2 linked regions of the Oryctolagus cuniculus genome follow. The protein of the gene in region 2 interacts with the protein of the main gene of each other region in a biochemical or structural test. Links are inferred from orthologs where the notes say so. Each region holds a gene or a part of one and is shown on either strand. Other genes may lie near its edges.

The links.
Region 1: the proteins of YWHAQ (region 2) and MARK2 form a complex in vitro, tested with the Homo sapiens proteins (2 studies listed by BioGRID, with this or other methods). The link is inferred for Oryctolagus cuniculus from reciprocal best matches to the Homo sapiens genes YWHAQ and MARK2.

Annotation. Positions count from the first base shown.
Region 1 is NC_091432.1:7,361,304-7,366,241, forward strand, and holds the start of MARK2 (serine/threonine-protein kinase MARK2), read right to left. Parts: upstream 3,105-4,938; 5' UTR 2,533-3,104; coding exon 2,479-2,532; intron 1-2,478. UniProt on the Homo sapiens protein: Serine/threonine-protein kinase. Involved in cell polarity and microtubule dynamics regulation. Phosphorylates CRTC2/TORC2, DCX, HDAC7, KIF13B, MAP2, MAP4 and RAB11FIP2. Phosphorylates the microtubule-associated protein MAPT/TAU.
Region 2 is NC_091433.1:192,508,293-192,513,311, reverse strand, and holds the start of YWHAQ (14-3-3 protein theta), read right to left. Parts: upstream 3,145-5,019; 5' UTR 3,110-3,144; coding exon 2,816-3,109; intron 1-2,815. UniProt on the Homo sapiens protein: Adapter protein implicated in the regulation of a large spectrum of both general and specialized signaling pathways. Binds to a large number of partners, usually by recognition of a phosphoserine or phosphothreonine motif.

The sequences.
Region 1 (4,938 bases), on a different chromosome or scaffold from region 2:
GTCCAACCAAGTGCCTTGCTTTCCGTTTCCTAACACTGAGGCCACTCAAAGGCTGCACTTCCACGGCCACTTCAGCTGAAATGTCCACAGGACCGAGAAGAGATCTCTTGCCTTACTTGGCGGCATGATCTGTTCTAGGGGAAGGCCTTGCGATCAGAAGCACTGCTGCTGCTCGTCTTTCTGCTTGTTCTCAAGAGCACAGCACCTGCCTGGAACAGGCGTCACCCAAGGTTCTGCAAAGACTCTGCTTCCCTGTGTGCGACCGGCACCCTGAGAACTACGCGCAAGTGGCTCAGGGGAACCCGAGTCCAGGAGAGTAAAACGGGGATGAGTAATCCAGACTTGAGAGCAGAGCCACAGCACACACAGCCCCTGCTCCGGACAGTTATTCAGAGCAGCTCACATTCCAAAATGGTTCCCAGGCACGGCTGTCCTGAGCCCGGCGTGTCAGGATGAGAGGAAGTCAACGCGCACCTCACAAGGCCACGGCGACAGCACACCCACATTTGGTAAACAGCACAAAGAAACCACACGGAGGCCGCCCGGGACTCCACGCCGGTGCGCACAAGGTCCCACGGCCTCCCGGGCAGGAGGCACTCCGCGCCACTCCACAGACGCCTGGGGTGCCGGTTAGGCCCTCAGCCCCTCCTTCCAGCTCCCAATCAACAGTCTCGGAAAGTTATCCAGCTAAGCAGGGCCCACCTGCCAACACCAAGGCTGCGAGAGAAAAAAGGACGGAACAAGCAGCCTCAAGAGGGCAGAGAGTGGCTCCCCGAACGGAGAAACAGCTGGCAAGCGAGGGCAAGGACCACTGCGGGCCACAGACCAAGCTCCCCGTTTCCAGACTCTGCCCCACACGGAGTCAGCTGTCAGGCCCATCCCTCCCTCTCAATGCCCCTGCACCCCAGAAACAAACAACCCGTGCACAAGAAAAGGGCCAGCCGCCACCGAGAAAAACTCCGTCCAGAACTGCCGGGTTCCTAACTGTGCAGGTGACAGGCAGCAGAGGCTCACAGAACAGCCACACGGAGTAAAGGACACGGGGGAGGGTCTGTCGGAGCAGGTCAACCAGAGAGAATGAAAACACTGCAACAGCTCTACCCCAGCGACCACGAAGGAAAGGGGACAGGAGGGGCGCAGAGGAGGGAGGGCGGAGGATCCAACGCAGTGCAGCCCCCGGGCAGGAGGGCGCCTTTGCCAGGCCCTGCTGTCTGGGCCCAGGAAAGTTCTCTGAGAGGTAAGGCAGGGCGTCCCCCGGCAGGGCCCTCAGCAAGGGTCCCAGCAGCCAGGGAGGGGACAGCCAGTGAGAGCACACAGCACAGGCCACGGCTTGGCTGACGCCCCACGGGAGTGCGGCCAGGATGGGGGCAGCTTGTAGGGTCGGGAGGCTGCGGCATAGGGCAAGCACTTGCTGGGAATTACAGAGCAACGGGAAGGGAGCAGGGACGGCACAGCAGCACACGGGGGCGGGGGCTGTCCGCAGGACCTGAAGACGGCAGGAGAGGAGCAAACCCCGCGGGGAGGCACGGAGAGGAGGCGAGGCGAAGCCAAGGGGGCAGCAAGGCAGTGAGCAGGGAGTGACAGGCACCGAGCGTCCGGGTGCGCGCCGCAGAGGCCCGGGAGAGAAGTGAGCAACAGGTTGTGTGAATACACAGGGCGGAAACAGCGAGCGACCGTCCCGCGGGGTGCGGGCCGCGGCCAGGGCAAAGGCCGGCGGGGCACGCAGGGCGCCGAGCAGGAGGCGCAGGGGCTTGGGAACCGAACCCTGGGGGAGGAGAGCACGAGGGGCCCCCAGGGCTCCGAAGGCAGGGAGGACAGGAACCCCAGAGCAACCTGTGGGCAAACTGCGCGCATGACAGCTGGGAAACACGGAAGCGACACGGGCAGCGCCAGGAGCCGGGGAGCTCCCGGGGAAAAGACGGGAAAGTGATGAGCAAAGAGTAGGCGAGCGATCCGGAAAGGGGATGAGGGTGGAGCTGGTGGGCTGCGGGCAACAGCGAGCACGCGGGGCTGAGGACGAAGCGGGGCGGACACAGCTGGGCAGCCGCAAGCGGACAGGGCTCGCGGCGAACACCCTCCCGGGCGAGGACCCTGCGGGTCGTCAGCAGGGACCGGGAGAGCCGGCGCGGGCGGAGGGAGAGGTGGCCGACGATCTGTGGCCAGGCGCGGGGTGCTGCTCGAAGCGTGGGTGGAAGAAGACCAGAGAGGGCCCAGAGAGAAAAAGGGAAGAGAGGGGAAGCTGAGGAGGTTAACACGGAAGAGCGCAGGAGGGCGGCGAGGGGCGGAGGGGGGTTGGCAGGGCGACAAGTGTGCAGCCTGGAGTCAGTTCAAGGTGGGTCCCGGGTCAGGACTCGGAAGGGGGATGTGCAGGGCCGGATGACAGGGCAGCCGGGGCACGAGGAGAGCAGAGGAGGGAGGAGGCTCCGCAAGGTGCAGGGGCCCAGCCAGAGAATCCGGGGAGCCCTCGGGGCTCCTTACCTGCTCCGTGTCCCTCTCGTTCAGCGTGGGTAGGGGGGTCCGGGCGCTGGACATGGCGCCGGTATCTCAGGGGAGGGAACCGAGAAGCTCGGAGTAAGGGAGGGAAGGGAAGGCGCGGAGCCCGGCCGGGCGGGGCTTCTCACAGCAGGAGCGCCCGCCGCATGGGCCCCGGCCGGGGGTGCGGGGAGGCCGGGCAGCCGCTCACGCCAGCCCGGGGATGCGCCGCTCGGGCTAGGCCGCGCCGGCTCCGAGCGGCTCCGGACCGCACCCCCCCGACCCCCGGCTGGGCTGTGCCGCCTTTCGGCCGGGCTGCGCCGCTCCGCCTACTCTCTGCCGCCGCAGCCGGCCGCCTGCCTCGCTCCTCCCCTGCCCTCAGCGGCACTGCTCCGCGCCCGGCACACAGGCAGCCGCCGCCGGACCTGCTGCTCCCAACATGGCCGCCACCACCGCCGGCCCTCGGCTCTTTCCGCCGGCGGCAGCCGGAAACATCCGAAGCGCTTAGGAACGGGAGGGGGGCGCGCCTTCTCCTCTCGGCCGGGGTCTACGGGTCAATTCCGGAAACAGCCGAAGAAGGTAATCCCCGGAGACGCGCGCACCTCCTCGATTCCGAAGACCGAGCTTCGGCTCTGTTTACGGAAATCTACGAAGCGGCTCCGGGCCCTCCTGAGCCGCCCAAGCCACGCCCACCGCCCTTTCCCCGCCCACGTCAAGCCGGCTTTCGGCAGTTTCCGGAAACACCCGAAGAGGCTCCGCGTGCGGAGCCGGCCACGCCCCCGTCCTGCTGAGCGGCCGAGGGCGGCAGTCGGCCATTTCCGGCAACACCCGAAGCCCGCCGAGTCCGCGGTCATTTCCCCCCCGGGGTTCCCAGAGCCTGGCTCTTCGTTTCTTTCCGTCAGTTTTCGGGTATTTTCAAACCTTGGACGGGACGCGTGGGTCCCCGTGCGTGTTGTTATTTGACTAAAAAGAGGACGAGGCTGTTAGCCATCCATCCCTGTGGCCGGTGTACTTTGGACCTGGAGCAGCTTCCTGCTGCGTGTCTGTTCGTCCCCCTGTCGGTTATCTCATAAAATCCATCTTCTGTTTATCCCGCACCACAGGCCGTCAACATGTGTCACCTGACAAACGCAACGTCAGTCTATTACCTACCTGCCTCCCGCCCACCACCTGCCACGGGCTCTCCTGTCTGTGAATGGCCGCACCTGGTCCGCAGGTCGGCAAGGGACCAGGTCAGCGTCCGACACACTCCGCTGCGGGAACGCCCAGGGCCTGCCTTGCAGCCCCAGCTCTGCGATCCTGGGAAACCCACCTGCCATCTCTGAGCTTAGGCTCCTGTCCCCTCCACCGAACGGATTTATCCCAGAGATGACTTTAAGTGCCCCTGCCAGGTAAGGCAGGAGAGATCGTCTCATCTTTTTTTCTTTTAAAAAACAATGCACCTTTTCTAGCGGTAAGGTCGACGTGGGACGCCCGCATCCCGTCCCTGACTGGCCGGGCTCAAGCCCCCGCTACTCTGCTTCCAATCCAGCTTCCTCCTCATCCACACCCTGGGAGGCAGCAAGTGATGGCTCAAACACCTGTGTCCCTGCCACCCACATGGGAGACCCCAGGATTGAGTTCCGGACTCCAGGCTTCTGACTGGCCTAGCCCTGGCTGTTGTAGGGATTCTCCTCCGTCTCTCTGCCTTTGAAATAAAATGAAATTTTAAAAAATAAACATAGCATGCATTCCCACGTGGGAGACCCAGAAGCAGCTCTGGACTCCTGGCTTCGGCCCTGGCCCAGCCCTGGCAGTTGCAAACATCTGGGGAGGGAACCAGCAGATGGAAGATCAATCTCTCTTTCTCTCTCTCTCTGTAACTCTCCCTTTCAAATAAATAATGAAATATTTTTTAAAAAGTGTGCATTTTCCATGAGCTTTTATTCACTTATTTGAGCGGCTAGGTGTAGGAGTTGGGAAGGGCCTTCATCCACTAAGACTTACTTGCCCATAGTCTACAACGGCCCAGTCAGGCTGAAGCTGGGAGTTGGGAACTCCATCCAGATCTCCGATGTGGGTGGCGTGGGTGGAGGAGACCCCGGTACCTGAGCCATGGCGGCTGCCTCCCCAGGTCTACATTAGCAGGAAGCTGGAGTTAGGAGCAGGACCTGGGCACTGGACCCCGATGCCCACTCCGATACGGAACCCAGGTGTCACGGCTGGCATCTTCCATGCTAGCCTAAACGCGTGCCCCAGGCCTTCCCTTCATTCCCACGTCACTGTATCTAAGACAAAGAAACTGGGGGGAAAGGGAGAGGACCCCGCTGAAAATGACAGTTCTCCCGGATGAGTGACACAGAGAACAGGCCTGTACAGAAGTAGCTTTTCTTCCTTCCTGTGGGCCTCAGTCTCCCCATCCGTAGAGTGGGGTCGCTGGATTCACGAGCCCCTGACTCAAACAGGAAGTCCGTGTAGTAACCTCCG
Region 2 (5,019 bases):
GTAGGATCACACACGACTCCTGAGGCCTTCATTTCACTAATACCACCAGCTTTTCAACAATTCATGTATCACTTGACAACAACACATTCTTCAACCTGAACAGACCCAGAAATTTTCATTCCAGGGGCCGGTGCTATGGTATAGCGGGTACAGCCGCCACCTGCAGTGCCAGCATCCCAAGTGGGCACCAGTTCAAGTCCTGGTGCTTTATGACCCAGCTCTCTGCTCTGGCCTGGGAAAGCAGCAGAAGATGGCCCAAGTCCTAGGGACCCTGCATCCGCTTGGGAGACCCAGAGGAAGCTCCTGGCTCCTGATCGGCACAGCTCTGGCCATTGTGGCCATCTGGGGAGTGAACCAGCAAATGGAAGGACTTTCTCTCTCTCTCTGCCTCTCAAATAAATCTAAAAAAAAAGAAAGAAAAAGAAAATTTTACTCCAACTCCCAGTTTTTCAAATGAGACTGAGGGACAGACAAGTTGGTGAATCTGCTCTAACCTCTCCCGGAGCTCCACTCAGAGTTCGCTTTCGTCTTCTTTGGCCCTCTTAGCCTCTTTTCTCTCTAAAGAGCACTCACTTGGATTTAAACCTTTTTTCTATGCTTCTGCGGTTCAGTAACTCAATGCAGTAGTCTTCAGGAGTCAGGGGTGACCACCGTGGAGTATTCTGTGCACTGAACAACAGTACAGCTGTCTGTGCCCCAATACTCTACGACAAGCAAAGAGGAGGTGGAGGGACTCTGCCATCTTGGATAAAATGTCTGGCTGTCCTTCAAGGTCACTCTGCTCTACAGCCCTCTGCAATGAAGTCCGCTGTGCCTACTGCCTTCACCCAATTCTCTTGCCTTTCTAACAGAGAAGAAAACCTTGTTTTAACATGCATGTTTAGAAACTTTAAATGTACCTCTTCTTTCATTATTTCAACAGACTCCTTATCCAACTACCAATATGTCAATCATTACTCGTGTTCACAAGCCCGATACATCACTCCGTTGTCTGAAAGACTGGACTGGCTGGACTCCAAGCACGAATCCTGGATGCTGCCACATGCACACTACGCAAAACCCCTCACCGTGTCCCTACTCCACCCAAAGAGGAACCCCTCACTACCAGCTCTTACAGACCACACTGCCCATCTTCCAGGTTCTCTGCTCCAACAGCTCTGCACACTGAAGCCTGCTTCCCCCACGCCGGCCCTACTATTCTGTGTATTTCCTCAGCTTGGGATACTCACACACACACACACACACACACACACACACCCCGCCCAATGCTCAACCCAAAAGCCACGATTTTCAGTGAGCCTTCCTAGAGGCTTGTTTCCTTCAACGCGCCCAGCATTCTGCTCACAACCATCTTTGGGAATCACCTTGCATTCTGGACATTTGGGAATTTCTCACACGCACCTGGACTACACATTACAGGAGGGCAAAGCCACGGCTCTTGGCCCGTTCACACTGCACACAGGAAGCTCTCGTTTATGGCTGCCAACTCAGAAATGTGTTTTCCCAGGGTATTTTTTAGACGGGCCATCAAGCTGAAATTAGTCTCTTAAACCACGTTACTAATAAAATGTTTTACTTACGCATTAGTGTCTCATCAATCAGGCTAAACTCTTATTTCCTCACAGCATTTAAAAAGAATGTCCTTATTTCAGGGTTCTCTCCCATGAACCATCTGCCTGAGAAACCTGGCCTCACTGAAGCCACTACCGATTCAGCCAAGTCCCCTCCACTTACCCAAAATTCGTTGACAGCCATAAAATAAAACAAACATTTCTTTGGCTCAGAGCTAACTGGCTAGAGAACAGGAAGAACCTAGGGCTAATTCTGAGTTGTGGCAGGGTAACTAACACATGGCAAAGTAATAACCGAACAGAAAGAGTTTGAAAGCTGCTGTGAGGGCGCCTGAAACACGCACAGGAAACTTGAGACATGGAGCAGACGATGCCCTCCATAGCCACTACGTGTGTGGAAGTGAAGTCTCCCAACCCTACTAAGCTGGCAAACTCACTCGACACAGAGCGTTCACATCTTCCCTTATGCCCAGCAGGAGCTACAGGCTAAGGACGCGCGGACGAAGTGGGCAGTCTCACCTTCCTAAAGCGAACAATCCCCACAGTTCTCCCCACTTCAGTGCACTCTGTACTGCCCCCAATTATTAGCTATTTCCATCAGACAGGACTTTGTTTATGTTATCTGTCATTTATAGGAGAAAAAGATGGGTTTAAAAAAGAAATATTTTTTTTCCTAGGGTGGAGAAGGAAACAGTCTGATGGATGGAGATGTAACAGGCAAAAAAATTTTTTTCTTCTACGCCCTTTTGAAAAATCCCGACCCAGCCCCCTAAACACGCTGTGGAACAAACACGTGCAAGGCCGGCAAGGCTCTTGTCAAAGCGGCCCGAGAGGGGCAGGCGACACTCCGGGACACAATGCCAGCACTGCACACTTATCTCCCGGATCAGAAAGCGTTTCGCCATGACAAAGCTAAAACTGTCCGCTCTCGCTAGTAACGGTGAATCACCGGGGCCACCCACTCCTCCCGGCAGCCGCCCTGACCCTGGGCAGTCCAGAACCTGGAAAGCACCAGAAGCGAGCCCGGGGGCACGCGCCAGCGTCTGGGGACCGCGAGGCGACGGCGACGACAGCCACCAGCCTGAGCCCACGTCGCGAGCACCAACCGCCCCCCGCCCCGCCCCGCCCCGCCGCTCCCACTCGGGAAAGCGAAGTGTCCGCCTCGTCCCACCTGCTCAGGGCCCGCCCCTCCACGCACAAAGGGAGCGCGCGGGGCTCCTCCGGCCCGCCCCCGCCCCACTCACCAGCACCGTGGTGCAGATGGCCCGCAGCTCCGACTCCACCTTCTCCCGGTAGTCTCTGATGAGCTGCAGCTTCTTGTCCGACGTGTCGGTCTTCTGCTCGATGCTCGAGATGACCCTCCAGGCGGACCGGCGGCCCCCGACCACGTTCTTGTAGGCCACCGAGAGCAGGTTGCGCTCCTCGTTGGACAGCTCGGCGCCCTGCTCCGTCACGGCCTTCATGCAGGTGGCCATGTCGTCGTAGCGCTCGGCCTGCTCGGCCAGCTTGGCCTTCTGGATCAGCTCCGTCTTCTCCATGGCGGGCGCCGAGCACGAGCGGGTCGCGACGAGGGCCTCCGCGAGGGCTGCGCGGGGCGGGGCGGGGCGGCGGGCCGAGGACAAAAAGGAGGGCGGGCAGCGCGTCAGACAATGCGGCCCGCCGCCCCGCCGCCCGCTTTTGTCTGCCCGCGCCCGCCGCCCGCGTGCGTGGCCCTCGCCCCCAGCCCGCGCCGGGCGCCCGCCGCCCGCAGCCGCCCCGCGCCCGGGCCCGCGGCGGGAGGGCAGCGCGCCGGGGGCCGCGGGAGGGCCGCTCCCGCCACGCGCGCGCCCCAAGATGGAAGCGGCCGTTGGCCCCGCACCGCGCCGCCGGGAGCCGTCCCTGAGGGAGCACGGCGCCGGCAGACGGCCGCCCCCGGCGCCGCGCCCCCCAGCCCGGCCCCACGGGCCCCCGCGCGGCCGCAGCAGGCCCGCGGGCCGCCTCCGGAGCTCACCTTCACGTCTCGGCGGCCGCGACGCGAGTCCCACCACTTTGATCTGCCTTGGGCTTTAGCCGAGGACCCTCCCGTCTCAGCCTACCCCGCGGCCGAGCGGCGGGCCGCCGCCCAATGGCGCGCCGAGCCTCCCGGGAGGGTCCCGCCTCCCGCCCCGCGGCTGGCCAATGAGGGCTGAGCGCGCGGAAGGGGGCGCGAGGGGCGGGACGAGAGGCGACGCGGCGGCTCGGAGGGTGGGTCGGCTTGGGCAAGCTCGGTTGGCCGGCAGGCTGCGGCTTCGGCCACGGGGTTTCCTCCAATTAGATCCAGGGTACAAGGACGTCACTGTTGCCATGGCGATGCTGTTACCCACTCGCCTCTCCTCCCCGCCGCCCCGGCGCCCCTGGGCGCGGCGCGCGCGACCCCCGCGACCCCCGCGGCAGGGTGCGGGGCGCCCGGCCGGCCCGGACTGGAGGCCGGAGCTCGGCGGGCGGCCGGCTCTGCCCTGTGCCGGCGCACGCCCCGGCCTTTCCTCCACCGCCCTGTCTGTGACAAAGGTTTGGAGCTCGCGACGGCGCAGCCCAGCCTTTCTAATGACGTCGCCATCAGGGCTGCGAATTAGAGAGAATCCCATCCCCATCGGAAAGGGGAGTTGGCTCCTGGAGGAAGCGGCTAGTGCAGGAGCAGCTGGGGTTTCCAGACGGGCACCCCGAACCCCCGTGCTGGCAGGCAGGCGGGGATCCCGGCGGCCCCGGGCTGGGGATCGTCTTTATTAAAAAGTGGGAGATGCCCTGGGCGCGCAGCTAGGGCCGGGACGCCCCTGCCTGCGCCCAGCAGTGTTCGTGGTCCCCCCACCCCCCACCGGGTTATTCGTGTTTCCCACATCGTCGTCTTCGGTGCCCGCGCTCCTTATTTTTGCAGAGCTAAAACTCGCTCCCGCGTGTCCACTCCTGATTTTTCTCCTCGTGGGGACCGCGCTTCTGGAAGGGAGTCCCTTTAACCTGCCCCTCCCCCCGGCACCGCCCAGTCCCCCGCGCTCCACCCACGGTGGCTGTGCGGCTGGGCTGGGGAGGGGGCTGCTTCTGCAGCTTCCTCCCGTGAACGTAGGCTCCCGGAGCTGCTGGGACCCCCGCTCCAGGACGCCCAGGGGGCGGGCGGTGGTCAAGGACACCGCAGGTGGGAAGGAATCCAAGAGGCTCTCCTACAGGGGAGGGTCCGAGAGCAGGGGCAGGTGGGGGGAGGCTGCCTCCCGGCTGCCCCTCCCTGTCCCGACTGCTGAAGGTCGCTTTGTGCTCTGCTGGGCAGGGGCGGCCCGGGGTTGGAAGGGGCCTGTGTCCTCCGGTAGAAATGTCTTTCTGTCTCCCAGCCTCCCGCTGCAGGGCCCTGCTGTTATTTCTGGAATCCCCGGGGCTGGGACTGCAGACACACGAGTGTTTATGGCCCTGTGGGCTGGGGTGGAGCAGGACACTGAGAGATCCC